Saccharomyces cerevisiae S288C: one gene and its partners. Changing the gene in region 2 together with the main gene of any one other region gives a genetic interaction. Each region holds a gene or a part of one and is shown on either strand. Other genes may lie near its edges. The genes, in order: TOR2, YPK2, CDC42 and PNT1.

Region 1 (11,285 bases), on a different chromosome or scaffold from region 2:
GAGATGCATTTTTATACAACACTTTTACAGGCTATATACAACTAAGTGATTTTCAATACATTAAAACTACCAGAATGGACACCAACCGATATAATGTTGGCATAGGTTTTCCACTGATGTGGCTTGTTGGATTAGTTTATCCACTTGTTCTGGAACGTCCAAGTCATTAAACCTTCTTATATCGTTCCCCGTTAATTTGTCAGTAATGCGCTTCAATACCAACATGGCCCTTGCATTTCGAATGGCATTCTTGTGCTCGTTTTCCACCCTTTGAACTTCTTCTTCGGTAATAGCCCCATTACTCAATAGCTCATTGGCATTCATCACGGGAAGTTGAATGCCCGTTTCTTCCTCAATTTTCTTTGTTGGTAAGTCAAAACCCCAATTGATCAAAGGATCGAAAGCAAAAGCTTCAAGGATTGCCATTAATGAACCCTTGTTATCTCTAAGTACCTTCATAACATTCTCACAAGTAATACGGAAGCTACCTTCAATTCCACTCACTTCCATTGCATATGTTAACATTCTAGTTAATCTAAAAGGTACTTTTTCGGGGAATTTTTCTCTTAATATAGCAGCCTCGAAACAATCACCAAAATCAATATGAATGACTTTCCCAGTGATTCTATCCAACATCAAATTACTAGGGTGGCGGTCACCTAACCCCAATATATAACCGGTCATGGACATCACGGCTAGCGATCGAGTGTAAGTAGTTCTACGCTCCAACCACGTTTCCGATGACCTACTCTTCAGCCATAACACCTTATAAAGATCTTGTCCCTCCGTATTATTTAGGGCGTAAGTGAAGACTTCTACTTTCTGCAACAACGTTAAATTGTCATAATCAGGTGCCATTTGTAACATGACCCAATGCTCAATGTTTAAAGGAATTTTTTTGGCTTCTCTATGCTCCCTAATTAATACATGGAACGTGTCACTATTCGGTACCCAACCCAGTAACCCAGACTTCGGAGATAATGGGATTGCTGGATATTGCTGGATATCTAGATGCCTTCTAAAGCACTCAGCGTCATTTTGCAAAAGCGTGTTAACTAGTCCGAATAATTGCATGACCAAGCTATCCTGTCTAATGTCTTCATGTCCTTTCAACACATACTTATAATCTTTACCATCACTACCCTTGATACAAAACTTTCTCGGTCTTTGTTTGGATGAGATTACTGAAAATACTGGCTCGAATTTAGATATTTTAACAATTGGTTTTCCACCACTTGCACGGGTCCCGGGGACAGCCAATTCCAAATCATGCGCAGATAGTAGTTTTGGCGACACATGTTGTAGTTCAAGAGTTTGTAATTGTGGCAACTGTTTACCAATTTTCCTGAAAACATTATAGTAAATGTCCCACGCTTGGTTTAAATTACTAACATCTTTAGATTTTTTGTAATTCATCAGCCATTCGTAAGCGTCATTCAAGTCCCTACCAAAAGAATTTTGGAACGATATTTCCCTCAAAGTTTCCGGTCCTCTCTTCAGCATTTCGTACAGAGGCTCTAAAGCAGCAAACATTTTTTCGGTATTATGTTCTCCAAAAAACTGCCTACTGGCGTCATCCAGACCCTCATACCATTGCTCATGCCAAAGCACCGCCATACGTATCAATTCGTGGCTGACAAGTTCAGCCTGGTCGACCAAAACTGGACTATGTATTCTCATCTTTTCTATGATGGACAAAGCTGCTTTCTGTCGTGAGAGAGATTCGGATTTAATCGCAACCATTAAGGGGTACACTAATGCCTGCGGATGAGCCTTACCTAGATCAGATAATAGGGAGAGTAATGACCTACTAACAATTTGATTGGGTTGATGAATTCTAGAAATTAACTGTGGCAACACTTCTAACCATGTGCCTATTTGGATTAGGTTGAAACCCTCGTGCATAGCTTGGGTTGCTTCTGGAATACCACCAAAAGTAAACCATAAAGTTAATAACCTTAATGCATCTTGAAGAGAGCTTGATTCTGATAAAGAAATGGAATGAAAAAAACCCTTAATTGCTGGAATTACGTGCCTGTGTATTAAATTAGAAGAGTAATGAACTTCCTTAGCATCAAATGTATTGACGCCGATCATGCCATTATCAAACTCATTAATATCAGTTACCGAGGAAGCATCACTTCCTTCCTGTTTCTTTTTAGAGACAGATGTTAGCATAGAAATGACTTCAAAATTGGCCAGTGCCCAGTTATGCCACGCTTTGTACCATGTGTTGTCAAAATGTGTAGCGAGCAAATAGGAGCCTAGGATCGAATCTGGATTGCTCAATCTCCATTTAGGCTGTAAGCAAACTCTCCATTCTCCTTGCTTCAAGAAACAACGAGCTAAAAGCTTAGTATAATCTTCAACGTGACGAGGGACTCTTTTGCTTTGTTGAGGAACGCTTTGAGCTATCATATTATTTGGATCCAAACCTAAATCATGAGCCATTCTAGATGTGAAATTAATTAATTGCTTCAAAGCCTCATCTTGCAACCCCGTAGCCCACAAGTACTTCAGTTGTGCATAAACAACTGGAGGGGATGCCTTAGCAGTATTAGGATGATCTGGGTCATCTGTTTCTTCAAGCAATGTATTTAAGACTTTTTTAGCTAGCGCCATCCTACCCGATTTTCTGCATAAGTTGGCAAACTTAATCCTCACTTGAGCATCCTCCTTTGGCTTTATCACCAATGATCTGACACGCAGAATTCTTTGCCACACATCAATATTTTTTTGACAGCCCAGTAATCTGGTATTCCAAGTTTCTCTCATAGTTAGACGTTTATCTGAATTTTGTGGCAACTTCTTATATTTGATGATTTCCTCCAACTCTGCTATAATCTGCGCTCTAACAACAACATTATATGCTCTATTGTAGCTTTCATTAACAAGAGCTGACAATTCAGTAACTAGAAGATCCCTTGCATTAAAGATGTGAACTTCCGCCTTCTTAAAATTATTCCTATGCAAACATAAAATTGCATCATAGAATTCTTTATCTGGAGACTGCGATTTCATGACGCTAGTATACTGGGCTATTTCATCCCATTGCTCCAAACCCCAGGCAGCGCCGGCAGCCAAAGGCGCCATTGCCTTCTTCACTTCGGGTTTTGCCGTGCCCCACTTTTCAGATGCCAATTTAGAAAGCTCTTCCCACTCTCCAAGGGCATATAACGATCTTAATTTTCCCATCATCACTTCAACCGAATCTTCTCCTGCTGCCTCCTTCTCATTATATGCTGCAAGAGCATCCTCCCAACGTTGAAGTTTTTCATACCAAGTTTCCTTCAGCTGCAATTCATTGTGTTGTTGCGCATGCTTCAAAATACCAATAGCAGAATCAGTTTGGTGAAGTTGATTATTAATGCTAATCAATGCCTCGATTGTTGAATTTTTCGGCTCTTCTAAGAATTCTACCTCTTTGTAATGTAGTGCCTTCGCAAAAGCATGACATTTTTGGGCATACTTACCTAATGTATGGATTGGGATAGGCAATGGTTTGTCATCGTGCTCCATAAATTCCACTAAATTTAACAACATTTGATAAATCTCGGGTGGGTTTTCAGAGGATGATAAAGCCTTGCATAATGCTTGAATCAAATCCTCTTGGTATGACGTTTGAAGCTCAACCCAGCAACTTGAGAATGAAGCATTAAACAATTCTCTCGCCAACGGATAATAAACGCTGACTAAACTCGAACAGGATCGTAGACAAGCTGAAGGTGATTCCTTTAGAAGCTGAATAGATAGCCTTCTTATCCATTCTTGCCAATCTTCTTTGGTCTTCTGTTGAGAACAATACCATGCATTCTTTAGGATATTTTGGTTTACCGGTAATTTCGTTACTTGCATTTCGTCTTCATAATTTTTCCTTTCAGGTACTTCGTTCTCCTTGTCAAATATGATATTTGTTGGCAAGCATTCATTGTTCAGTAATTTATTAACCAGTTGATCGTACACTGAATGCTGAATCCTATTCCTCAATAACGCCTTGTTAATCACTGGCACAAAGACCACAAAGTCGGTACCTAGTTGTAAAAGGAGCAAACTTAGCGTATTCATGGTTGCTTTTGTTAGTTCTCTATCCCCATTATTCAAAATTCTTACCAACGCCTGAACAATTCTTGATGACATTTCAGAGAGGTTGATATTCTTTGCTAATCTACCCAAAGTTATAATGGAGATTTTCTTTAGACTTCCAGCAGAATACTCAGTCATTCTAACAACGATAGGCATAATCAAATGGGAATAGTCTTCTAGATTCGGCCCAAAAGTAACCAAAGATTTTAATATACGAATCGGAACGATCCTTTTATTAGACTGGTCGTTCTCAAGAATATCAAGGAAAAAGGTTAGAGTCTCGGGAACAAATCTTTTAAACTCACCTTCCAGAGCCTTAGATATCGATTCTATGACAGAAATAATTGTGATTTGTAGTTTAATGATCGGGAAAAACTCCCTGATCACACCATAAATTTTCTCGACATGGGGCCTAATATGTTGCTTGACAATTGAGATGAGAGATCCCAGTTGCTGAAAATAAAAGTCAAGTTGGGACGGCGGGCATGAACGCATGACTAAAATGATACCTGGAATAATTTGATCCAAAAAGGAGACACATCGTAAACCAAGGTTTTGAAAAATATGCATAATAGCTTGAATAGCAGCCGTGTGATGGATTGACAACGATGGATCATTCAATATCTTCATCAGATTGTGGATAACTACAGTGGGGTAATATTCATCGTTGGATGGAGATACCCCTTGCATTAGCAATGCGATGTCGATTGAAGGAGCATTTTGCTCTACTGAACTCTTTGAGTTTGATGTGACTTCTATTTCTCTGTGCTTATATGGATCAAGAGCGCCTAATATACCAATCAAACGAACAGTTCCACGCCTGATATGAGGGTTGTTTTCAGTCTTAAGAATATTTATCAAAATGCCAAGTAACTCTGGGTAGTCTAGTAAAGGGCCAACAACATAACCAGAGGAAGCAGCCAGCTGTCCTAATGTTGTTAAGGCGGCATCTCTTTTAAAAGAGTTTGATTGGTCCTGAAATGTGTTAATGATCAATGGCATCAATTCCTTTAAGTAACGCGTCATTTCTTTTCCTCCAACAACAGATAGTTCACCCAAAACCTTTAAAGCGGTGGATGCTACGGCAGATGAAGCATCCTGGCATTTAGGAAGAATGACGTCTAGAATAGGATCAATATAAGGTTTCGCTACTTCATCGCTGGAATTTATCAGCGTACATAATAGAGTTGCACTTTCCTCCTTTTTTTTTGGCATATTTGAGAACTTCAATTGCGTTAATAGTTCCAGTAAAGTTTTCCTCAAAGAAGGAACTACATAAGCGGGGTTGACAGAACTCAATCTGCCTATTATTTTGATAGCTTCCAATTGAATACCAAAAATCTCATCGTTCAGCGCCATGAAAAGTAGGCGTAAATTGTCTGGTTGGGCCAATTGAGGATCAAAATTTGACCCCAAATGCTGAAGAATTTCCAATCTAATTTCTGCAACCGGATCAGTTATTGCGATCATTAATAGCTTACTTAGCACTTCAGAAACCGAGTGTAAAGCATGAACTGATGTTTGTTTACATATATCGTCTTTGATAAATAAATCACACGACGTTAATGCTGCCAATTTTCTGACAGACGAATCCTCATGCTCAATGTAAGAAATGGTTATAAGCCTAACAAACTCCGTCAAGGAATATTGATGATGAATTAGTTGCAGCATTTTAAAACACTGAATCAAAATTTGGGCATCTGTAATATCGTCATTAGATTCACCAGTTTTTTTCATGAAACTTTGGTTTCTTGATTTACGAGCCTTTTCAATGGAAAATTGATTATTAAAATCGTATTGGTTTGATTGAATAAATTTTTCACCAGATAAGGATATCGACAGTAAATTTAGTATCCTCGAATTAACGGTAGATTCCAAAGAGGGTATTTTCTCGTTAAGGATCATTAAAGTCTCCTGCATATGGTCGGACATTGGACAGTTTAACATCAAATTAAGAAGATCTTTGTTCAAGTGCTTAGCAAAAGCTGGGCCCAAAGCACAAGCTAATTTACCAATGCAATAAAATAAATCCTTCTCGAATTGTTTTCTAACTTTGAATTTCGTTCTTAAGCCTTCCCTAATATTATCCAGAATAAGTGTCATATAGGGTGAAATGCTCGAACCAACTTCAAATGCAATATCACCTATAGAAACTAATATAAAAGGTTTATCCGAATTATTTGCAGCATTCATATCGATGTTCTTCAAATATCTTAAATAATGAACCATTATCCTATCGAGATATTTCTTTGTGAAAATGGCAGGGTCAAAAGCAGCTAAAAGAGGTAAAATAGCATAAACTTCTCTCCTTATAACATCAAATTTATATTCCTTGTACTTCATAGTAGATTTGTAAATATCATCATATTTATCCCTGAGATAAGGTGCTTTCAAGCTGAGTAATTCTCGAAATACCAACAGAGTAGCATGCACTGAATCATTCGTATTGAGACTTAAGCCATGTGTACAACCTTGAAATAATCTTTGAAACCACTGTTTTCCCAAAGCAGGGTCTCTATCCTGAATAATAGTAAGACATTTACCCAATGCCACTGCGGCATCTAATCGTATAATTAACTTTGCATCCCTTAATGGCACCCAAATATTGTCTAAGATAGAGTTAACGTAAGGGTATAAAAGATAGGGTGAATTGTCTGCTAATGCCTTTATGATTAATAGCGCAGCATGTCTCCTGTATTCCAACTTAGAGCTCGATGAGTTATTATCTGCTGTCAGAGTAAGCCAATCAATGCAAGTTCTGACCTCAAATTCGACGAAATCTGATGTTAATGTACCACCTGGCACGGTCAATCTACCTAAGGTGTTAGCCGCTAATCTCATAACTTCAATGTCACTGGATGGAATTAAAACACGTAAATAGTTCGCCAGTCTTGAAGTTTGGTTTGGCAGCTCCTCTGTACTCAGGTAGAATGAGATCAGAGTATCAACAGCAAGAATACCACCTATCTTCTCACTTGAAGTAAACCCGTGAATAAGTTCAAATATCTTATTGTTTAAACTGTTGCTAAACCTTTGAAATTGCTCAGCAGATACTTCCCTTGCTAATGAGGTCAAAGTAGTGCTTAATTCATTAGCGCCAGAGGCTCGTTCTTGTGGCACATCGCTTTTAAGTTTATCAAAAATCAAATTTAAAGTAGAAAATGTTGTATCTAGTTCTGAATCTACAAAGGATATTTTACCAATATGACCAGCAGAACCAGTGATCACTCTACCAGAGTCATTGGGCCCATTGTGATTGGAATCTGTGTTTGAAGTAGTTGACATCTCATCATCGTGGGAGTGCGATTTGTGTGTAAGTTTCTTTCTTGTTCTGTGTTTGCCTTCGGCCCTTTGTCGTAAAGACAATAAGTTAGGTGGCGTGGTGTATTTGTTAATGTATTTATTCATTTTTCATATGGGGAAAGTAAAGATCAGAAATCTCTTTGAGAAAGATAACTATTTGATCTTAATGACTATGCTCTTTATGCACCCGGTATATTTTCCCTTTCTACTGCTCCTAATCTACCTGTAAATAAATACAAGTAAAGCTCAGTTAAGGAAGTGATTGGTGTCACGATGATAAAAATTGGTCTTTCCTACTGTCATTACATTTCTTCCAATTTTAATTGCTGCCATATATGTCAGTCTCTATTCAAACATATTCAGTGCTTAAAAAGGAATATCCGGGTAAATATTCTGACATCGCCCAAGAAATATACGATATAACTTAAAGAAAAGAGTTGTAGTAAGCTAATAGCATTAAGATTAAATGTATGTTTGATTAATTGCAATATCATGATGTTATAGAGTAACGTGGTATAATTACCACGATTCCGTCGAATTGTTTGCCACTTATCACTGGCGCCAAAATGCAGCAGTATGTAAAAAATGACGGTAATAAATATATAATACAAATGCATAGAGGAAAGGCTATAGAAATGAAGAGATTCATGAATTTTCAGTCAGGTTCTCCGACTTTTAATTGCTGTGCCCCTCCTCCTGCTTCTTTTTTTCCTCTTCTTCGTTCTTCTTCTTTTCTTCCTCTTCCTGCTTCTTCTTTTCTTCATCTTCATTCTTCTTGTTTTTCTCTTCCTGCTTCTTTTTTTCCTCTTCTTCGTTCTTCTTCTTTTCTTCATCTTCATTCTTCTTATTTTCTTCATCTTCATTCTTCATCTTTTCTCCTTCTTCCTGCTTCTTCTTCTCTTCTTCTTCCTTCTTCTTTTTCTCCTCTTCCTCCTGCTTCTTCTTTTCTTCTTCTTCCTTCTTTTTCTTCTCTTCTTCTTCCTTCTTTTTCTTCTCTTCCTCTTCCTTCTTTTTCTTTTCTTCTTCTTCCTTCTTCTTCTTTTCCTCTTCTTCCTTCTTCTTCTTCTCCTCTTCCTCCTTCTTCTTCTTCTCCCTCCGCTTTCTTTCTTCAAGTAACTTGGCATAAGCATAGTCCTCGTATACAATAATAGGGTCCTTATCAAACATTTGAATACCCTTTCTGTTAACGTCGGATAAAGTTGGCGCAAAAAGGTCTAAACCATATGAATTTAAATCCAAAAAGGAGTTGCTACTAAAGTTTAAATTTGATTTAAAATCCACAGGATTTACTTCAACAGTATTAGCAGGAGTATAATCTTCTGTGTTATCATCTAGAGTTGTTCCAGTTTCATCAAAAGTAATGTTGAAAAGTGAAAAATTCCTGTATTTCAAACTTTCGGACAGATCAATAATTTTTCCGACATATTCTTCATGAACAATCTTGGTAACTTGATCTAATGTAGTCTGGTTCATAGATTTTGATAAATCCTTCCACATAGCTTTTTCATAACCAAAAAGAAATGGGTCCTTTGCAGGGGAGCTTAACTTAGGAGCAACATTAATGCGCAATTGATGTAATAATTTCTTTTTTTCAATAAATGTCAGGTTTTGGCAGTATTGAATTTCCAATTCCTTTTGCCTATATGCAGTGACATTGAAGGAATTGTACAAGTTAGTAAATACCTCGATAAAGCCAGCTTTTGGAATATTTTTATAAATTAAGCGAACATCATCCATGGATAGGTTTTTGAAAGAGTATTCAGAGACTTTGTTGGAATCAAAAAGTTTCGACTCAAATTTCGTAGACGATATTTCTTTCAAGAGGTTCGGATTCCATGAATTAATACTGGGGATGTTTGGATACCATGAATTAATATTACTGCATTTCTTTAACCCGTCATAGTCGAACCAAAATCTAAATTCGGGCAAATAAGCAGTATTTTTGTAAGCATCAAATGCATATCTATCAGGTACATGATATTCATTGTGCAAGCAGTAGGTATGTCTGTGAGGAATCAACGCTGGCACACCATGGAAAACAGTATTGATTAAGGGAGATAGTTCCTCGAACGAGTTAAAATGGTTGTTTCTACAATTGTAAAGTTTAAGTTTTTCGTTGAGAAAATATCTTTGTTTAGGATTCAACTTGTTTTCAATGGTCTTAGACTTTGGTAACTCTTCCAGTTCCTTTTTCAAAAGATCTTTCAAATCAGTATCAGTGGGGACTCTTTTATGATTTTTATTTTCGTCGCTGGTAATGTAATCACGTAGCTCAGTGATGTTTAGTGTAGCCATATTGACTAACCCATCATCTACTTTGTCGGGCAAAGTAGCGGTCTCACCGTTCGATTCAGGGATATTATTGATATCCAAATGTTCCTCTTGCAACCGCTCTTCAATATAAGAATTCAAGTAATCCCTACTAGGGGCAGAAGTGCTAGCTAGACCGGTAATATCAATGTAAAGGCCGGTGTCGACGTCAATGAATCTTGCATCGATATTGTTTTTACCGTTACCGTTAATTCTTACTGTCAAGGAGTCGCTGACGTCTAGGAAATAACGTCCATTACCCTGTCTTGGGTCTTCCAATATAAGAGATTGGTTGAAGTATTGACTGAGCAATTGTAAATGCTTAATGGGCATTTGCAAGTCGAAATCGTTATCCCAAGGGAAAGCCATTCCATTGTAAAGATAGCCGTACAGCGTTCCGTGAGACAACCAAGATATGATGCCGTTGGCTTTAGTAAACTTTTGGAATGTTCTGATCATTGAGTTCAATCTAGCCTGGTATTCTTGTTTATCATTGATTAATGTATCAACATTGAAGAACCTCTTGTCACGATGGAACCCCATACCTTTATATTGCTTCACGGCACCAGCCTCATAGAAGAACTTTCTTTGCAATGCAGGGCTTGTCTTTACGGAATTCTTCAAACTGTTCAGATAATTCTCATTATGAGCGGAAAATTTGTCCGGATAGAGTTTCTTCTGTTCCTCTAACTCTTCAATTTTTTTGGAGGCATCGAACTTGAAATCCGAAGGGGATAAATAAACCAAATCTTTATCAAAAGTGAATTTATCAGTTTCTTCAATTTCCAGTTTGTATAGGGAGTTAACTTGGTCGTTATTGACGAATTCCTGGAAAAGCCTGTTATGGTTGAATTCTACGTCCTGTTTATTTTTCTTTCTCTTGTTCGTAGAATTAATGTTATCATTAATATATTCCTGCAACAGGCCGGATTGCACCAAGTTTTTTGATTTTTCAGTTTGCAAGGGGACTTGATACGTGGAATTATCTGATTCGATGATGGAAATGGATAGTGGATGCGACTGTGTAGTCAAAATGTAGTTTCTTGCCTGCAATTGGTAAACTTCGGGTCTAACTTTATCATACAGCTCCTTTATTTGAAATTGCGTATTAAATCTTAAACCCTTAGGAGAGCCATGCCCGTCTGGAGTGAATAGCTTGGAACAATGCTTTTTTAGTTCCTTTGAGTCTTTGATTCTGTCCTGGTTTCTAGCGGCCTTGTACCACAGTTTCTGCGCGTACTTTGGTCTTTCGTATAGGAACAAAGGTTCGCCGAGCTCTGTCTCAATGGCCTCTAAAGACTCTTTGTCGAAAGCGGACTGGAAAAGAAAATTGCAGGGCAGAACAGTTTTATCTATGGAAATCAGCTTATTCAGCTCGTGGAAGGTTGTCCAGTCGTACCATGAAAAGGGTAACTTTTCTGGCTGATCTGCGTCATTATTTTGCAAATGGTTCAGCACAACGGACCACGTGAGACGAGGGTCGAAGTCGTAAAACTTCAACTCATCCACGGATTCGAGCTTACTGCCCTTTCGAGGGCCCATTTTGACCGAGAGCAGGTCATTTTGCAGAGTATATTCATTGACCCATT
Region 2 (7,801 bases):
GGCTGTCAATCTGACTTAATGGCTTTCAGTGCTCTAGTGGATGTTATGCTAGAAAATAGAAAAATTGCTGTTGCAAGATATGTGAGCAAGAAAGACAGTGAAGTGAATATGTGTGCATTGTGTCCCGTTCTAATTGAGCACAGTAACATTAATTCCGAGAAGAAGTTTGTTAAGAGCCTTACCTTGTGTAGATTACCATTCGCGGAAGACGAGAGGGTAACTGATTTTCCAAAACTTCTGGATCGAACAACTACATCCGGGGTACCGCTGAAAAAGGAAACAGACGGGCATCAAATCGATGAGCTTATGGAACAATTTGTAGATTCAATGGATACAGATGAGCTACCAGAGATTCCGTTAGGCAACTACTATCAACCCATAGGCGAAGTAACAACAGACACCACTCTCCCACTTCCCTCTTTAAATAAAGACCAAGAGGAAAACAAAAAGGATCCTCTTAGAATACCCACGGTTTTTGTCTACAGGCAACAACAGGTGCTACTGGAATGGATTCACCAACTGATGATCAATGATTCCAGGGAATTTGAAATCCCAGAGCTTCCTGACTCATTGAAAAACAAAATAAGTCCTTACACGCACAAGAAATTTGATAGCACAAAATTGGTTGAAGTGCTCGGCATCAAGAAAGTAGACAAATTAAAACTCGACTCCGAACTAAAAACTGAGCTTGAGAGGGAAAAGATCCCGGACCTAGAAACGCTATTGAAGCGCGGTGAACAACACAGTAGGGGAAGTCCAAACAATAGCAATAATTAAAAAAGGTCTAACATCCTTTGAGTTATGTTTTCGTCACCACAGTTAAAGAGAAAAAAAAATAAATAGCGGGTAAATAATTGTCATACTACTGATTTGCATTGTTACCTTGTAACTTTGAACACTAGCCATGCAGGTTGCTTTTCCTCCTTTACACCTTCCCCCCTGTCGCTGTTCAAAAGTAAATGCAACAACAATAAAACGTGGGTAGAGGACGTTCCCTGTATGTACTAAAATCATACTATCATCCGTTGAGGTCGAGCGGTTCTCTAATCTCAACACACGCTGCTGCCCCTGAGCTTGCGAGCTAAGGACAACAGGGCCAACTTGTTCTTTCTAGGGGGGAGAGGCCCAACTTAGGCTCGGTGAAGAGAAGCGCGGAGCTCACGAAAAGGGGTGGTGTCGCGCACTACTTTTTTCGTGGGGAACTTACGTGAAAGGGGACGTTATACTTTTGTTATGTGCAGTTCCAGGAACAAACAGGGGTTGAAAAGTGTAAAAGAAATAGTTGATTCTTTCAGAATCTGGATGACTGCCGCCCGAACAATGTGGGAAATATAAAAAGGTACCGTTAATATTGTTTCATTTTCGAAGATAGTGTTCCATGTCTTTCTTCAGCGTTGCTTGAACAATAGGATAATAAGAAGAAGATCAACCAATCTTTCTCAGTAAAAAAAGTAACAAAAGTTAACATAACATGTCATTTCAAATTGAAACGGTTCCCACCAAACCATATGAAGACCAAAAGCCTGGTACCTCTGGTTTGCGTAAGAAGACAAAGGTGTTTAAAGACGAACCTAACTACACAGAAAATTTCATTCAATCGATCATGGAAGCTATTCCAGAGGGTTCTAAAGGTGCCACTCTTGTTGTCGGTGGTGATGGGCGTTACTACAATGATGTCATTCTTCATAAGATTGCCGCTATCGGTGCTGCCAACGGTATTAAAAAGTTAGTTATTGGCCAGCATGGTCTTCTGTCTACGCCAGCCGCTTCTCACATCATGAGAACCTACGAGGAAAAATGTACTGGTGGTATTATCTTAACCGCCTCACATAATCCAGGTGGTCCAGAAAATGACATGGGTATTAAGTATAACTTATCCAATGGGGGTCCTGCTCCTGAATCCGTCACAAATGCTATTTGGGAGATTTCCAAAAAGCTTACCAGCTATAAGATTATCAAAGACTTCCCAGAACTAGACTTGGGTACGATAGGCAAGAACAAGAAATACGGTCCATTACTCGTTGACATTATCGATATTACAAAAGATTATGTCAACTTCTTGAAGGAAATCTTCGATTTCGACTTAATCAAGAAATTCATCGATAATCAACGTTCTACTAAGAATTGGAAGTTACTGTTTGACAGTATGAACGGTGTAACTGGACCATACGGTAAGGCTATTTTCGTTGATGAATTTGGTTTACCGGCGGATGAGGTTTTACAAAACTGGCATCCTTCTCCGGATTTTGGTGGTATGCATCCAGATCCAAACTTAACTTATGCCAGTTCGTTAGTGAAAAGAGTAGATCGTGAAAAGATTGAGTTTGGTGCTGCATCCGATGGTGATGGTGATAGAAATATGATTTACGGTTACGGCCCATCTTTCGTTTCTCCAGGTGACTCCGTCGCAATTATTGCCGAATATGCAGCTGAAATCCCATATTTCGCCAAGCAAGGTATATATGGTCTGGCCCGTTCATTCCCTACCTCAGGAGCCATAGACCGTGTTGCCAAGGCCCATGGTCTAAACTGTTATGAGGTCCCAACTGGCTGGAAATTTTTCTGTGCTTTGTTCGACGCTAAAAAATTATCTATTTGTGGTGAAGAATCGTTTGGTACTGGTTCCAACCACGTAAGGGAAAAGGACGGTGTTTGGGCCATTATGGCGTGGTTGAACATCTTGGCCATTTACAACAAGCATCATCCGGAGAACGAAGCTTCTATTAAGACGATACAGAATGAATTCTGGGCAAAGTACGGCCGTACTTTCTTCACTCGTTATGATTTTGAAAAAGTTGAAACAGAAAAAGCTAACAAGATTGTCGATCAATTGAGAGCATATGTTACCAAATCGGGTGTTGTTAATTCCGCCTTCCCAGCCGATGAGTCTCTTAAGGTCACCGATTGTGGTGATTTTTCATACACAGATTTGGACGGTTCTGTTTCTGACCATCAAGGTTTATATGTCAAGCTTTCCAATGGTGCAAGATTCGTTCTAAGATTGTCAGGTACAGGTTCTTCAGGTGCTACCATTAGATTGTACATTGAAAAATACTGCGATGATAAATCACAATACCAAAAGACAGCTGAAGAATACTTGAAGCCAATTATTAACTCGGTCATCAAGTTCTTGAACTTTAAACAAGTTTTAGGAACTGAAGAACCAACGGTTCGTACTTAAAACGAATGATTTACTAATGGCTTAATGATTTTCACCTTTTTCAATGAATATTAACGGTAAAGAAGAAAATTTCAATTTTTTGAACACATACTTTATATACTTAATAGATCCATATTTCGACATATTAGCAAACGATTGCATAGGTTTCTGAGTCTTTTTTTTTTTTTTTTCATAAGGAGGAGAATATTTTGGTTAATCGCAGTATCTTCTTCATAAGTGCTGTTTCTAATTATATCTAATTCACGAATTTTTCCCAAATTAGCGTATCCCCGAATTCAGATTACCTACCCCGAGTTTTTTATTATATTTCCCTCGAGAAATCTGTAAAATGGCCGTCATCCTTAGATTTATAAATAAAATGATAAAATTCAGCCAAAGTGCTCCTAAACCAGAATTGTTCAACTGGGTCAAATTATCGCGTATACAAATATACATATAGTAACATGCATTCCTGGCGAATATCCAAGTTTAAGTTAGGAAGGTCCAAAGAAGATGATGGGAGTAGTGAAGATGAAAATGAAAAATCGTGGGGTAATGGCCTGTTTCATTTCCACCATGGAGAAAAACATCACGATGGTAGCCCGAAGAATCATAATCATGAACACGAACACCATATAAGAAAGATCAATACAAATGAGACTCTCCCAAGTTCCTTAAGTTCTCCAAAATTACGTAATGATGCATCCTTCAAGAATCCATCGGGGATAGGAAATGACAATTCTAAGGCTTCCGAAAGGAAAGCTAGTCAGTCGTCTACTGAGACGCAGGGACCGAGTTCGGAATCCGGACTAATGACAGTGAAGGTGTATTCTGGTAAAGATTTTACTCTTCCCTTCCCTATCACCTCTAACTCTACTATTTTACAAAAACTACTAAGTTCCGGCATCCTTACTTCATCATCCAATGACGCTTCCGAAGTTGCAGCCATAATGCGGCAGCTACCACGATACAAGAGAGTGGATCAAGATTCAGCAGGGGAAGGCTTGATAGATAGAGCTTTTGCCACTAAATTCATTCCTTCCTCTATATTGTTACCTGGGTCAACAAATTCAAGCCCATTACTTTATTTTACAATTGAATTTGATAATTCTATTACTACTATTAGTCCAGATATGGGAACGATGGAGCAACCAGTGTTTAACAAAATATCGACATTTGATGTAACAAGAAAATTACGATTTTTAAAAATCGATGTCTTTGCAAGGATTCCATCCCTACTTTTACCCTCTAAAAACTGGCAACAGGAGATTGGCGAGCAGGACGAAGTACTGAAGGAGATTTTAAAAAAAATCAATACAAATCAGGATATCCATTTGGACTCCTTCCATTTACCTTTGAATTTAAAAATCGATTCTGCAGCCCAAATAAGACTATACAATCACCATTGGATTTCTTTAGAAAGGGGATATGGTAAATTAAATATCACGGTGGACTACAAACCTTCTAAGAACAAGCCTCTCTCCATTGATGACTTTGATCTATTGAAGGTTATCGGGAAGGGTTCGTTCGGCAAAGTGATGCAAGTAAGGAAAAAAGATACCCAAAAGATTTACGCTTTGAAGGCTCTGAGAAAAGCATATATTGTATCGAAATGTGAAGTGACACATACTTTAGCGGAGAGGACTGTCCTAGCAAGAGTTGACTGCCCCTTTATTGTTCCGTTGAAGTTCTCATTCCAATCTCCGGAGAAGTTGTACCTAGTATTAGCTTTCATTAATGGCGGTGAACTGTTCTACCATTTACAACACGAGGGACGATTCAGTCTAGCACGCTCCCGTTTTTATATTGCAGAACTATTATGTGCTCTCGATTCATTACACAAACTTGACGTCATTTATCGTGACCTAAAGCCTGAAAACATTCTATTGGATTACCAAGGACATATTGCACTGTGTGATTTTGGGCTTTGCAAGCTGAACATGAAGGATAATGACAAAACAGACACTTTCTGTGGTACTCCCGAATATTTGGCACCAGAAATCTTGTTGGGGCAGGGCTATACTAAAACAGTTGACTGGTGGACATTAGGTATCTTACTGTATGAGATGATGACAGGGCTGCCACCATACTATGATGAGAACGTTCCTGTTATGTACAAGAAAATTCTGCAGCAACCGCTACTATTTCCTGATGGATTTGACCCTGCGGCAAAAGACCTATTAATTGGCCTCTTAAGCAGAGACCCAAGCAGAAGACTCGGCGTTAACGGTACAGATGAAATTCGTAACCATCCTTTCTTTAAAGACATCTCATGGAAAAAGCTACTTTTGAAGGGCTATATTCCGCCTTACAAGCCAATTGTAAAGAGTGAAATAGATACTGCAAATTTTGATCAAGAGTTCACTAAGGAAAAACCGATCGATAGTGTAGTGGACGAGTACTTAAGTGCAAGTATTCAAAAGCAGTTTGGTGGGTGGACGTACATTGGTGACGAACAGTTGGGTGATTCTCCTTCGCAGGGGAGAAGCATTAGTTAGAAGCAAGCCGAAGCAAGCCGAGCCGAGCCGGACGGAATTTATAGCTATAGCCGCAAGAGGTTGCAATTTTCAAAAATGGATAGTTCAAGTAGATTGCGATACGCACTCCGTTACTATTGTGGTTAACGGGGACAAGAAGAACTACAGAAAATAGAATGGTCCGCAGAGGCTGCGCTCTTCTTTTAGCAACTCTCACACGACTTATGTTGCTTATTCATTTCTTTTACAGCATTATCAGAATTCTTCCATCTACGGAATTGAGATCAAAGACCGACCTGTTGTCGGCCGAAGGACGGACGCTTATACCCGCGGATGTCAAAGCGAAGCCCGCGGGGCGCAAGTCGAGGTTACCGGAATTCGCCAAACGGCAAAGGACCCTTGCATTGCCTGAAAGGAAAGATTCGCTTTTCTGTTTGTTGCCACTTTTCTTACATAGTCTGGGCCGGGAGCAGCTTATTTCTTCCGCGGATGATCCTGGATTTCCTTGCGCGGGCTCAGCCATGGGGAGCCTTACCTAGTCCCGTAAAGGGAAAAAGCTAACCTCATTCGCCTCACAGGGTGAAAGCGTGAACAAAAAAAAAAGAAAAGCTTAATGATTAAAATTTACAGTATATATATATTTGTATTTACGTATTAAACTATATATAAATAGATATGTATGCCGAAAAAGTAAAGTCTGGGTGATGCCTAGTCCAATCTTTCTTACTACTGTCCAGTTTCTATCGTAGCAGTTAATTATACATAGAACTGTGTAAATTCAACGCATTAATTTTTTTTTTTTTCACTTTCGCAGTTAGGGGGGACACATTTTTTTTGCCCTTTCTTAAGCTTCGTAAGCGAGTTACATCATTATTTCTTCCTGGGATACAATACGCGTTCGTACAAGTCACAGCTGGACCGTATAGGGAACAAGACTGCAACTCTCTCCAACTTGTTAAACAGAGGAGGAAAAGAAAGAGGGAAAAGAGGAACAAAGACAATCAAAGAAAAAGAATAGAAAGCAGTTGCTGAGCTCTTGGCATATTGTATACGGTAGTGGCGTATAATATAGTACGAGAATTAGAAATATGACGAATATGGCGGAGGATAAAACAAGTATAAGCAAGGTACATTCTGAATTCAGCAATTCCTCGAATACCACTGGATCTGAAGAGGAGAGTCGGTCGCATCAAGAGAGCTTCGACGGCGAGTCCAGTTCCGGTGAAAGTAAAAGTAAAAGCAAACTAAATCTTGAATATTCTGCAGATATCGAGCCATTGAAGTTCAGAATGACAAAAACTAATAATACAAATGACAAATTAAAATATAGTAACAACGGCAACGCCACTGATTCATTTATGAGACTAAAGGAACATTTACAGAGAGGCAATACTTTAAATTCGAATCTTAGGGTCAATGAGTTTTACCCTTTCAATTCCATTGATACAGAGCAATTTGAAAACTATTTGAGAGAGCCAAAATACATTAAAATGTTGAAACGTCGGAAAAACCTGAAACAATTTAGAAGATTGTTTCTCGCGCAAGAACTAATGGCCTACGAAGGTGAAACGGTTACCTCCACTTCCAAATCATCTGAACCAACCTCTAAAGCTATATGGAGTACAAAGTTTAGCCGCGATGGAAAATTTATGGCCACTGGTAGCAAAGATGGTAAAATAAGAATATGGAAAGTTATTGGCTCTCCAGTTGAAAGAGCCGAATTGGACTCGAGTGCGGAATCAAATAAAGAGGCACGAGCCAAGTCGATGCGGATCAAACAGCAGGTCAGTTCATTGAACAATCCAAAAGAAAAACAATTTTTGGATTCTGCTACAGAGAAATACGAAGAGAAGGAAAAATTATTGAATTTGTATGCGCCTGTCTTTCACCCAACGCCTTTGCGACTGTATAAAGAACACGTGCAAGATGTTCTGGATATAAATTGGTCTAAAAATAATTTTATTTTGTCAGCATCGATGGATAAGACAGTAAAACTATGGCATCCCGATAGGAAAAATTCACTTAAGACATTCATACATCCTGATTTTGTCACTTGTGTGGAATTTCACCCCACCGACGATAGATTTTTCATTAGCGGCTGTCTGGATCACAAATGCAGGTTATGGTCTATACTGGATGATGAAGTTAGCTTTGAGTACGATTG
Region 3 (6,243 bases), on a different chromosome or scaffold from region 2:
GTGAGAAATCATTCTTTGAAGGTCAAATTGTTTTGCAATTTCTATCGATAGTAGAACACACTTTGGTTCCACAGTCATGGAACGCATCACGTGCTTCTAATTGTTGGTTATTGAAAGAGCATTTACAAATGGCTGCATTAAAGTATCATTCAGGTAATATTAATGTTATACTTGAAAACTTGGCTGCCACAATGGGAAGTTTCGATCTTATGTTTACAACTCGAAAAAGTAAGGAACAAAAGAACAAACTCAAATATGCAGATTTGAGTGAGCGCCAGGTTTTTTTTTTAGACTTGAGCTTTGATTTTATTGCTAATATCATAGACGTCGTCATCAAACCCTCCTGGCAAAAAAACATGGAAGACTTTCGATATCTAGCCATTATTCGTTTGCTTATGTGCTGGATTAAGTCATATAGATCTATTTTGCAGTACACTCACAGACACAGGAAGTTTTGCACTTCATTCGCCTTGTTGCTGAACGACTTGATAAATAGTCCACTGAATTGTTCAGGAAATATATATAGCCACAGGCCGAAAAGAAGCTATCTTTTTAGAGAAGATATTATTTTCAGGGAATTTTCTTGCATTAACTTTGCACTAACAGATTTTAATGACGATTATGTGTATGATTCTCCCGACATGATTAATAATATAATTGGATGCCCTACATTGACTAAAGTGCTTTCTCCAAAAGAAGAATGTGTTCTGCGAATTAGATCAATAATATTTTCTGGCATGAAATTTTTAGAGAAAAATGACACCGGCGTCATATGGAATGCCAGCAAATATAAGTTTGATTTAATAAGCCCAAATATTAAAATAAAACGCCAAATAGCATTATCGGAAATTTCCTCCAAAATAAATGTAAAAACACAACAGGAAAGAGTAGTCTCTTCGAGAAAAGTTGAGGCCAAAAGAGATGAACAACAGCGCAAAAGAGCCGGGAAAATAGCTGTGACAGAACTGGAAAAACAATTTGCAAATGTCCGGAGAACAAAAAAATTGTCTCCGCTCCCAGAAAAAGATGGCGTTTCTTCTGAGTTGGTAAAACATGCTGCTTCACGAGGGAGAAAAACTATCACTGGCCCACTATCCTCTGATTTTCTCTCATATCCAGACGAAGCAATTGATGCTGATGAGGACATCACCGTCCAAGTGCCAGATACTCCTACTTGAGAGAACAAGTAATGGTGAGGGAAAAAATCATAATATGAAATATATTATGACGACGTCAATTAACGTCGTCCACGCCTGTCGTCGTCAACCCACGAAAATATGGGGGCGGTTTTTATAACGGTTATTAAAACGACGGGATGCCGTCTACGGCACGGACAAACCCATCGCTTTGGAAATAGGTGACTGCGCTTGAAAAACATAATTATTTATTAGCATAATAAATTCAAGACAGCAAATATATATGCTGTCAATACGTACATATTAAGCCTAAATATTCTGTGGAAAAAAGAAACAAACTGGTAATTATGGAGAAAGCTTTGGAATTAGACGGAGAATATCCGGAATCTCTGAGGGATGAATTCAACATCCCTACATTTAAATCCATGGGACTATCGTCCGACGATAAGCCTGTGACGTACTTATGCGGGAATTCTTTAGGTTTGATGCCGAAGTCAACTAGGAATTCAATTAATGCTGAGCTAGATGCGTGGAGCGATTGTGCTGTGGAATCGCATTTCAAACATCCTGAAGAAGCCAGAGGAAAGGTGCCTTGGGTCAGCATTGACTTACCTATTCTTCCACTACTAGCCCCCATCGTGGGTGCTCAAGAAAATGAAGTTGCAGTAATGAATAGTCTCACTGCAAATTTGAATTCATTGTTAATTACGTTTTATAAACCTACTGAGAAAAGATTCAAGATCCTTTTTGAAAAGGGCTCCTTTCCATCAGACTATTATGCTTTCTACAACCAGTGCAAAATTCATGGAATTTCGGAACCTGAGAATGTTTTTATTCAGATCGAGCCACGCGAGGGAGAGACTTATATCAGAACTCAAGATATCCTGGATACCATAGAGGTAAATCAAGATGAATTGGCGCTGGTCTGTTTGTCAGGTGTTCAGTATTACACGGGGCAATATTTCGATATTGGCCGAATCACCTCATTTGCCCACCAATTCCCCGACATATTGGTTGGATGGGATTTAGCACACGCTGTAGGGAACGTCCCATTGCAACTTCATGATTGGGGTGTTGACTTTGCCTGTTGGTGTTCTTACAAGTACTTGAATGCCGGGCCTGGTGGAATTGGTGGCTTATTTGTCCACTCGAAGCATACTAAACCAGACCCTGCTAAGGAAAGTTTGCCAAGATTAGCTGGTTGGTGGGGCAATGATCCTGCTAAGCGATTTCAAATGCTGGAAGTATTCGAGCCGATTCCAGGAGCATTGGGATTCAGGCAATCTAATCCAAGCGTTATTGACACAGTGGCATTGAGAAGTTCATTGGAATTATTTGCGAAGTTTAATGGTATTAATGAAGTTCGTAAAAGATCGTTGTTGCTGACGAACTATATGACGGAACTGTTGGAAGCCTCCAAGTATTACAAACACCCTTTAAGGATCGAGAAATTACCATGTTTTTTTACAATATTAACTCCAACAAGCACAGATGAAGAACATGGCGCCCAATTGTCACTTTACTTCGATTCTGACACTGGAAAAGAGGATATTATGCCCAAAGTTTTCCAATATTTGCATGACCATGGTGTCATTGGCGATGCAAGAAGACCAAACGTAATTAGATTGGCTCCTGCTCCCTTATATAATACATTTTCAGATGTATACATTGCGGTGAATGCACTAAATGAGGCGATGGATAAGTTGTAGTCCTAGAGTGACCGCATCGCCTTCATCTTCTTTTGGATATTATATATGACGTAGTTTGAAATTCGTATACTTACTGATAGCGAACCTATAAATTTATACTTTCTTTCCAAGAATTAAAATAAATATCTGGGCCCGTGTATTACTTACCAGTTGCCGTGCATAGTCGTGAATCTTCTTTCATTTATCAACCTTCTTCCAATAATGAAGCTAACTTATCAGTGGTAGTACTGTTGAACGAAACAAGCCGGAACTCAAAAGGGTAATTTCGTGAAAAACAATCATCTACGGTATAAATAACAATTTAATTTACGTCTCTTTCGAAAATGCTCGTGTAGCTCAGTGGTTAGAGCTTCGTGCTTATAGCAACATTCGGTTTCCGAAGTTTCTGTGCCAAAGACCTTTCAAACAGGCCTTTAAAAGCAACGCGACCGTCGTGGGTTCAATCCCCACCTCGAGCACTTTCTCTTTTTTTTTTAAAAAAAGTTGCATTATTTCTATCAACTGTTGTAGCTACGTTACACCTAATTTTGTATTGTAGACTGTTAGATAATCCACATATACAGGTAAATACGGCACATTGTCTTCTAAACATCGCATTAAAGATGTCTTCCACCGTCGATTCAAGGGTCATTCAATACGGGTAATACTGCTTCCATTGGGCCCTTCCAAATGAAACAAGATACGGGAAAAAGTGATAAAAAAAAGCAAACAAGGTTGATTGATCGATGATAGACGCGATTCTTGGAAAAGGCAAGAGCAGCGTTTTGATAAATAGGTTCCAGGTGTACCGAGATATACTGATTATCCTTCTCTGTCATTCTTCACTTTTTGCAATAGGTTTCCTTTGTCGCAAAAAATTATATTCGTTATTTATTATACTATTCTATTTTCCTGAGGAGATAGGTTAACAAACGAATTAGAGAAGCAAAACTTATAAAACAAGAAATAAACGTATTAGCTCTTCCACAAAATGCAAACGCTAAAGTGTGTTGTTGTCGGTGATGGTGCTGTTGGGAAAACGTGCCTTCTAATCTCCTATACAACGAATCAATTTCCAGCCGACTATGTTCCAACAGTGTTCGATAACTATGCGGTGACTGTGATGATTGGTGATGAACCATATACGTTAGGTTTGTTTGATACGGCCGGTCAAGAAGATTACGATCGATTGAGACCCTTGTCATATCCTTCTACTGATGTATTTTTGGTTTGTTTCAGTGTTATTTCCCCACCCTCTTTTGAAAACGTTAAAGAAAAATGGTTCCCTGAAGTACATCACCATTGTCCAGGTGTACCATGCCTGGTCGTCGGTACGCAGATTGATCTAAGGGATGACAAGGTAATCATCGAGAAGTTGCAAAGACAAAGATTACGTCCGATTACATCAGAACAAGGTTCCAGGTTAGCAAGAGAACTGAAAGCAGTAAAATATGTCGAGTGTTCGGCACTAACACAACGCGGTTTGAAGAATGTATTCGATGAAGCTATCGTGGCCGCCTTGGAGCCTCCTGTTATCAAGAAAAGTAAAAAATGTGCAATTTTGTAGTCATATTAGTATATGCCCATCTTTTCTTAATCTATATCTAAAATTAACTTATATATACACCTTCCTATCCTTTTATTATCGTTGTATTTCATTTTTTCGCTTTGCTCAGAGTTGATTCTCTTTGTTTCTTGCGCCAGGATCATCCGTCTGTTCAAGGCGGAGTAGTGCAAAAAAGTCGAGCCGTCAAGCCCCAAACGTTCAATACTTCCATGTTCTTCAACGCTAAACGCGACATTTGCGAGTCCTACCACGTCTTCTCCGTTTACGGGCAAAAACACCTCTTAACATCAAAAATTTGGCTTTCGTGCTTTTTTCTGAAATATATTCGTTGCATAGACACGGTATGCATATGAAACATTCAGGCTAGCAATCAATACTTAAACCCTTTACGGGCGTGCATGATGTATCAGGAAACCAGTTTGAGAATGTCGCCCACCAAGCTCCATGGAAAGGCGCAAACCAATTACGCGGAACACAAAAATGGGCCTTTTTTTGATCGCCTCAAAGGCCGGACCAGGTTCGTTAAACGTCTGTAGAGGTGCCGAACAATTTTTGTCTAGAATAAATTTCCATTTTTCTGGCATTTAATTCTAGGCTTTCTGGTCTCTTTGTTCTTGCAGCTAGCCCATTGGGTGCTCTTCAAAATATGTCAATATCACCTTGATTTTGAAAATGCGCCCGTAAAATTGGACTTATGCTACAAATATATTCTACAGGAAAAGATCCGCAAGGTCTGCTTTAGCGTAAAAACGACCTCCCAGTATTTTATATAACCTCAGCCATTTCACTGAATGATACATAGTAGCATATATAGCTAGGCCTAAATGTATTTTTTTTTACAACTTTTTAGATCGCTGCGTGAAGGATGAAACTTCATATGAGTACGGACGTTTGAAAGGGTAGAGTGGCGCTAGCATAGAAATGCCATTTCTCGGAGGTGTCATCATTCGAAAAGAACTCAATTTTCAAGCGATTGAGATTCAAAGGCAAACCGATGCCTCCTCATTGGTCACATCTTCATGTAAACTGTGGCTGCTTTTTTTTCTAAATACTCTATGACTACAGCTTTCCTTTGTACAAACTCAAGTTTATTTAATCGTCTTTTTTAATGTTTATGTTCAACATACCCGAAACCACTACAAGACGGAAAATACTAGAGAAACATCAACAAATGAAAAAAAAAGGCTACAATCCTCGGATGAAACTGATAAAAACGAGCACAGTATATGCCGAGTCGTAGCATTTAACGTACTAACACTACTCGCCAAATCATAAGAGCTTCATGCTGACGTGTGTATCTATATCGCTTTTACAGATCCTGCAACCGACAGAGCCGAAAACGTAATTGGTGACTCGTTCCTCGTTCTTGTCGGAAAAATTTAAACGAGCGCGTTCGATAAACTCAACGAAGGCAAGTTTGAACAATAGATGTTGGTCGTAATCATTCGTTCTTCGACTTTTATAGCCTTTTTTTTAACTTAACGAACTCGTACTATCTAATAGTTTATTTCCCCTTGTTTTTTTTTGTTACGATTGGGGAAAAGCAAGGGTTCCCTGCGTCTACGATTACATCATCTACTAACTAGTCACCGAAATCGATTATCGTCGAAGGAGAAGCAACCAAGACCTCCACTTTTCAAAGGCACAAATAACATTTCGCCTTTACATAATATAGAGGAGTTAAGTCGACGGTTTTTTTCATTTAAGGTTTATATTTCGTTTATCCATAGATCTCCATCTAACATAACATGACATCCGATGATGGGAATGCTGGACAAGAAAGAGAGAAGGATGCTGAACTGATTGAGGTTGGGGGCAAGAAAGTGAGCAAGACTTCGACAGGGAAACGGAA
Region 4 (6,748 bases), on a different chromosome or scaffold from region 2:
TACCACCACACCTGTGCTTTTTTTATCTTGTACGTGCATGTATGCGTATGTTTTCTTTTTTTCCGTTGGTGCTTATTCGCTACCGTCTCGTTGATCCATGAATCACAAACACAAGCCGGTTCTGCTTACTATACAAAATAGTCTTGTGTCTTGATTCATATATCCGTCAATAACGTAGCCTTTCTTTATTTTCCTTTCGCTCACCATACTCTTGCATTAGTGTATTTTGTCTTTTATATCGCCAATAAGTGCCCAACTCTTCTACCTGACCCCTACGTCGTCGCCGCCCCTTTTCTTTTTCTTCGCCTAGTTCTATTTGGCTATATATTTCAGAGTGACAAATCTTTAAGAGAGACAAACTGAGAATTAGCATATAGAATCATTCATACAACTGTTTACAAACAAGTAAGCCCAAGACAGTTCCCAACCGCTTAAAGAAGTTTTTCCTAGAGGGAGCAAAGTTCGTTTACATTTCACACACACAGTTTTTTTTCACTTTTTTGGGCCTCTTCCTTTTCCCGTTTTTTTCAAAAAGCTTAGAAATCTTCTTCACCTCCTATTTTTCTAGAATCGTGAAGAATTTCCAGATTTAACAGTTTTCCACTTTTTCAATAAGGAAATAGTAGGAATAATAAAAAAAGGATAGTAGTAACGATATACGTCGACTTTCCAGACTGGTCTCGAGCCGGAATTAAATACAATAGCAGCGTTTGACTACCACATTGTAGCTCCGCTAGAATTGATCGAAAACAAAAATAATAACACTAATAATTATAATAATACGGTAGAACTATTTCTCGTATAAAGATGCCTAATCTATTGTCGAGAAACCCATTCCATGGTCATCATAATGACCATCATCATGACCGTGAAAATTCGTCTAATAACCCGCCACAGTTGATCAGAAGTTCTAAATCTTTCTTAAACTTCATTGGTAGAAAACAAAGTAATGACTCACTAAGAAGCGAGAAATCTACAGATTCCATGAAATCTACCACAACCACTACAAATTATACTACAACAAACCTTAATAACAACACCCATAGCCATTCTAATGCAACCAGTATCTCAACAAACAACTACAATAATAACTATGAAACAAACCACCACCATAATATTTCTCATGGGCTCCATGACTATACTTCTCCCGCCTCTCCAAAACAAACCCACTCCATGGCAGAATTGAAAAGGTTTTTCAGACCTTCTGTAAATAAAAAACTATCTATGTCTCAACTTCGTTCCAAGAAACATAGCACCCATTCCCCCCCACCTTCAAAATCAACTTCTACAGTTAATTTAAATAATCACTATCGTGCCCAGCATCCTCATGGCTTTACAGACCACTATGCTCATACCCAGTCTGCTATACCGCCAAGTACCGATTCTATCCTATCTTTGTCCAATAATATTAATATATATCACGATGATTGTATTCTGGCTCAAAAATACGGGAAATTGGGTAAGTTATTGGGTTCCGGTGCCGGTGGGTCCGTTAAAGTTCTTGTGAGACCAACTGATGGTGCTACTTTTGCCGTCAAAGAATTCAGACCAAGGAAACCGAATGAGAGTGTGAAAGAATATGCCAAGAAGTGCACCGCAGAATTTTGTATTGGTTCGACTTTACATCACCCAAATGTTATCGAAACTGTTGACGTTTTCTCTGATTCTAAACAAAATAAATACTATGAAGTTATGGAGTACTGTCCGATTGATTTTTTTGCTGTTGTTATGACAGGCAAGATGTCTCGTGGCGAGATCAACTGTTGCTTGAAGCAATTGACTGAAGGTGTTAAATATTTACATTCTATGGGATTGGCACATAGAGATTTGAAATTGGATAATTGTGTCATGACTTCCCAGGGTATTTTGAAATTAATTGATTTTGGTAGTGCTGTTGTGTTCAGATATCCTTTTGAAGATGGCGTAACGATGGCTCATGGAATCGTGGGTAGTGACCCTTACTTAGCGCCGGAAGTGATTACCTCCACCAAATCTTATGATCCTCAGTGCGTCGATATATGGTCTATTGGGATCATATATTGTTGTATGGTGCTTAAAAGGTTTCCATGGAAAGCCCCTAGAGATTCTGACGATAATTTTAGATTATATTGTATGCCGGATGATATAGAACACGACTATGTTGAATCTGCCAGGCATCACGAAGAGTTACTGAAGGAAAGAAAAGAAAAGCGTCAAAGGTTTTTGAATCACAGTGACTGTTCCGCCATCAATCAGCAACAACCAGCTCATGAATCAAACTTGAAAACAGTTCAAAATCAAGTTCCAAATACTCCAGCATCTATACAGGGTAAAAGCGATAACAAACCAGACATTGTGGAAGAAGAAACCGAAGAAAATAAAGAAGATGATAGCAATAATGATAAAGAAAGCACGCCAGATAATGACAAGGAAAGTACCATCGATATTAAAATAAGCAAAAATGAGAATAAAAGCACGGTAGTTTCAGCTAACCCAAAGAAAGTAGATGCCGATGCCGACGCTGATTGCGATGCTAATGGTGACTCTAACGGCAGAGTGGATTGCAAGGCTAACAGTGACTGCAATGACAAAACGGATTGTAATGCTAACAATGACTGCAGCAATGAATCGGATTGTAACGCTAAAGTTGATACTAACGTCAACACTGCTGCCAACGCTAACCCTGATATGGTTCCCCAAAACAATCCACAACAACAACAACAACAACAACAACAACAACAACAACAACAACAACAACAACAACAACAACACCATCATCACCAGCATCAAAATCAAGACAAGGCCCATAGTATCGCTTCCGATAATAAATCGAGTCAACAGCACAGAGGACCTCACCATAAAAAAATTATTCATGGCCCATACCGTCTATTACGTCTACTACCACATGCTTCAAGACCTATCATGTCCCGTATACTGCAAGTAGATCCAAAGAAAAGAGCAACCTTAGATGATATTTTTAATGATGAATGGTTTGCCGCCATTGCTGCCTGTACCATGGATTCAAAAAATAAAGTTATTAGAGCGCCTGGCCATCACCATACATTGGTTAGGGAGGAAAATGCTCACTTAGAGACCTACAAGGTTTAATACGAACTACTCAATTATTTTCACTTCTTTTTTCGATTAATTTAATTGTATTTTCTATTTTTTCTTATTTTTTTCTTTCACTTTCCAATTGAAACGCTTGACGAAAATCTATATACTATATATACGGAAGAGTATCTATCATATTATACATACAATATAGAGTAACATTGCCCTTTGCTCCAAAAGCAAGAAACATCACTGAATTATTGTTTGAATTTGCAATTAGAAAAGTTTAAAAGAGTTTTTGTTTTAAACAATATGTACAGCATAGATAATGTCATGAATATTTACATCTATTGAATATCTTTCGTAGCTACCAATTCTGAATTATATTTTAACAATGATATATTGTTGACACCCCATTTCTCACTGAATGTATGCTTTCCGTTTAAGGATATAGTGTCATTATATCTTAATGTCCAATAAAGAAACAATCTTTTCAGTAAGATTTCTTTCCCTAACGTGTCATTAACCATCTCATTCAAGTCATCGCCCATGTGATAAAGTTTTCTTTCAAGTATACAGTTAACCAATTCTCTATCACTTAGCGCGATTTTAGTTTTCTCAACATCAGTGTTGAGTATACTCTGCAACAGCAACCAGTCATCGATAAACAGATACTGGTAAATTTTTTCTATCTCATTGCAAAGTAGCTTCTGTAATTTTAACTTTTTATAAATATACAGTTTCCAGTTTGATATCATACTTTGAGGAAAGCTTGTCAGAAAATTATACAAATTCTCAATAGGAACTGCATATGGTGGCTCATACTTAATTGTACCTTGCTTAGTAAACTCTAAGGGACCCAGACCGTAGTTACCTTGTGTGCTTGTTGTTCCCTTGATATATGAGTTGGAAAGCTTCTTGTATCCACCAGGAGTTAAACAATTGTACGGACAGACACGTGGAAAAAAGGTAAAGATCAATACACTTACCTCCTCAAATATGAATACTAAGGTGAAAAATACAGGTAATTTCCAGATTTGATCTCGTCTGATCAGTTCCACCAGTGTTTTCCTATTGATTGAAAGTGGCCTTAATGGGGCTTTTGCTGAAGAACTTGTAGGCAATGATGAAGACGATAGTCTTGTATTGATTTCATGCATTTCTATTTCCCGTACTAAGTTAGCCAATGCACCGTTTTTTATGCTGAATTTCTGCTCTTCGTTTCGAGTATCCCAGAATACTTTTAACGTGTTCTGAATTCCTGTTTTATAGCTTTTTAAAAGATACAATCCAATTCTAAACCAACCTGTCATGAATTTCCTCCATTTGCCAACCTTAGTATCCAATTTTACCTGTTCCAAGATCTCCTGCTTGGGGAACTTAGTCATTGGTAGGGATCGATTAGAGTTTAGAGTAGCGGCCAGAGGCTCTGGAGAATCGGATGGTGTTGTCTTCGCATTCCAATCGACATCCTGTACTATCTGTAGTGAACCTAATTTGTAACGGCTATTCAACGCTTTAAATAGTGGTGCCTTCACTAAACCGTGCAATTGAATAGAATCGCTTTTTATCACCGATGGTGCTATGTATTTTCGTACCAGTGCAACTCGAGAATCCATATCGATGGCATTAAAGGTGTTAACTCAATTAAATAGATTAATAAAGTTCTTTTTAAATATAGAGTAAAATGTTCTTATATCTCGTCACTGTATCAACAGCCGTCTTCCACTTTTCTACTTTTGCATATAATATTCCGTGCATTTTCTAGCGAGATTTATTATTCATCCGCAACAGGTTTGTACATAATAAAGTATAAAAACCTGCATCAAAATAAATGCGAAAAGGTAAGAAAAAGGTTATCTATAGATTATTTAGAATCGAGTAATTCCTGTGCAGACGTAATAGCGGATCTTGCATCACTGACATCTTCGGTACCCTGGTAAGTTTTTAGAAATTGTTCTAAATCCTCTTTAAATTCTCTAATCTTCTCATATAAAGTAGGTAATAATCTTTTTGTGTCATCAAGGACCTCCTCCTGTTTCTTCAAGTCATATGGGTCAACTGACTTGTCTTCTTTAAGTTTTGCCACATGTGCTTCCTGATCTTTCAGTTCTTGTTGGTAGTACCCTTCCTCCTTAGTCAGCCTCTTCAAGGCCTTGACTTTTATATCCAATTGTGTGGGTGCCATTGATAGTGAAATGTAGTTTTCTTGAGTTCAACCTGTTGTGCTTTATGCTCAAAAATGCCCTTATAAGACGCACTGTATCTAACTGCTCTGTTTATATGTAGCCATAGTAGTTCTTCATTATGATCCTTTGCGGGTAATACTACAAAAGGTGCGACATAAGCGGCCATTTATCGTTGAAATTGTGACACTTTTCTATTGATGACCACCTCTGGTGCAAATACACAATGTGTCACCGCTCATGCCATTATTCTACTTATATACGTATGATTTTACTTGAAACCTAGAATAAATTTTTTTATTCGCTGTAAATGCTACTGCTGCAACTTGCTATTTCAATGCAGTCAATTTTTTTTTGAAGAATATTCAAAGCCCTATCCTCGTCATCGTTGTCATCTCCATCATCACTGTCATCGTCAAAAGTCATGACATGCATTATTTTAGGCGGATCGAGAATTACTTTTTTTAATTTTCTTATAGAGAGTTTATTCAAAAGCGTATTGCACGATGATGTTTGTGCAACTTTTGGAAGCTTGTTATGTATATCCAGATCTTCCACTGATACTGTTGAGGGCAAAGTCTCCGCAGCAGTGCAATAGCCTTCCTCACTAGTGCTTTCAGACACAATGGATGATCTCATTGTCCTCTTATTCGTGTTCCATACTATACTTTCTACTTCGGACAATTCCTCATCTGAATTCGATTGGTCAGAGTATGTACTGCATCCAGACGTGGTGTATTCTGGGCTAGAAATGACATCGTTTAATGTGTTAGAATTGACAGGTTTCAACTTTGGTGTTGTTGACGAAAACAAAGTCTCTGTGTCGTCAGGGCAGACGACATATGGTACCTGAAATGCCTCATTTTTTTTAGCTATTTGTTTTGAAGCGCATATATCGATAATTCTGTCAATTTCTGAATTTAGGGCAGTAGAATCGCTTGTAGAAACGTTTTCATAGGCTGATAGAATTTCGTCAAACAATATTTCACTACCGCTTTTGCCATACTTATTTTTTCTACAGCAATCTTGTGTCTGTGTTTGCATTAGGGAGACCGGATTAATAGGAGTAAGGGCTTTTACAGGCATTACAATTGGGGCCGGGCGAGAGACAAACACTTTATCAATAATATGATCCGAATGTGTCTTATGCCCTAAAGATTGTACTACTGCAGGCTTTGACAGCGTCGGCCTACGTAAACTTTTTCTTTGAATTGGTAGTGATTTTACCTTCTTTCTTTCTCGTAATGGTAGAATCGTGCTTTGAGGACAAACTGGTCCCTTGGGAACTTGCATGTCAGTAAATTTTTTCTCTCTAATCACCTCAAGTTGGGAGCGTGGCCTCTTCTTGAAATCATGTAAGAACAATTCTGGAACAGACTCTAACCGTTTCTTCAGTTTCAGTGTACCCCCAAATCTTTTAGACAACCTGTTACCACCGTTGCTGGTACGTAAAACCTTATCATCTTCATCTTCAAAATCTTGTGGTATCGGTGGAATATACTTCAAGTCATCAGCTGTTAATGTTAGCG

What was found.
Region 1: of YPK2 (region 2) and TOR2, extra expression of one rescues a mutant of the other (dosage rescue), as found in Saccharomyces cerevisiae (3 studies listed by BioGRID, with this or other methods).
Region 3: mutations in YPK2 (region 2) and CDC42 together harm fitness more than expected from each alone (negative genetic interaction), as found in Saccharomyces cerevisiae (2 studies listed by BioGRID).
Region 4: mutations in YPK2 (region 2) and PNT1 together harm fitness more than expected from each alone (negative genetic interaction), as found in Saccharomyces cerevisiae (2 studies listed by BioGRID).

What each region holds. Positions count from the first base shown.
Region 1 is NC_001143.9:55,869-67,153, forward strand, and holds TOR2 (phosphatidylinositol kinase-related protein kinase TOR2), read right to left. Parts: upstream 7,492-11,285; coding exon 67-7,491; downstream 1-66. Other genes in the region: MNN4 (Mnn4p), read right to left, coding at 8,062-11,285. UniProt on the Saccharomyces cerevisiae protein: Phosphatidylinositol 3-kinase homolog, component of both TORC1 and TORC2. TORC1 regulates multiple cellular processes to control cell growth in response to environmental signals. Nutrient limitation and environmental stress signals cause inactivation of TORC1.
Region 2 is NC_001145.3:471,277-479,077, reverse strand, and holds YPK2 (putative protein kinase YPK2), read left to right. Parts: upstream 1-3,624; coding exon 3,625-5,658; downstream 5,659-7,801. Other genes in the region: ATP-dependent DNA helicase YKU80, read left to right, coding at 1-777; YMR105W-A (uncharacterized protein), read right to left, coding at 820-1,014; phosphoglucomutase PGM2, read left to right, coding at 1,472-3,181; YMR103C (uncharacterized protein), read left to right, coding at 5,814-6,176; LAF1 (Laf1p), read left to right, coding at 6,726-7,801. UniProt on the Saccharomyces cerevisiae protein: Plays an essential role in the proliferation of yeast cells. Involved in a signaling pathway, required for optimal cell wall integrity, that acts in parallel with the PKC1-SLT2-dependent pathway.
Region 3 is NC_001144.5:602,360-608,602, reverse strand, and holds CDC42 (Rho family GTPase CDC42), read left to right. Parts: upstream 1-3,815; coding exon 3,816-4,391; downstream 4,392-6,243. Other genes in the region: EST1 (Est1p), read left to right, coding at 1-1,178; BNA5 (kynureninase), read left to right, coding at 1,484-2,845; ECM22 (Ecm22p), read left to right, coding at 6,140-6,243. UniProt on the Saccharomyces cerevisiae protein: Involved in development of cell polarity during the cell division cycle, and essential for bud emergence. Affects signaling in the pheromone-response pathway through the STE20 protein kinase.
Region 4 is NC_001147.6:818,927-825,674, reverse strand, and holds PNT1 (Pnt1p), read right to left. Parts: upstream 4,653-6,748; coding exon 3,381-4,652; downstream 1-3,380. Other genes in the region: YOR268C (uncharacterized protein), read left to right, coding at 1-141; putative serine/threonine protein kinase HRK1, read left to right, coding at 808-3,087; RBL2 (Rbl2p), read right to left, coding at 4,901-5,221; DSE3 (Dse3p), read right to left, coding at 5,517-6,748. UniProt on the Saccharomyces cerevisiae protein: Probably involved in mitochondrial export. Confers resistance to the anti-pneumocystis carinii drug pentamidine. May act by the removal of pentamidine, or its damage targets, from the matrix by an active-transport mechanism.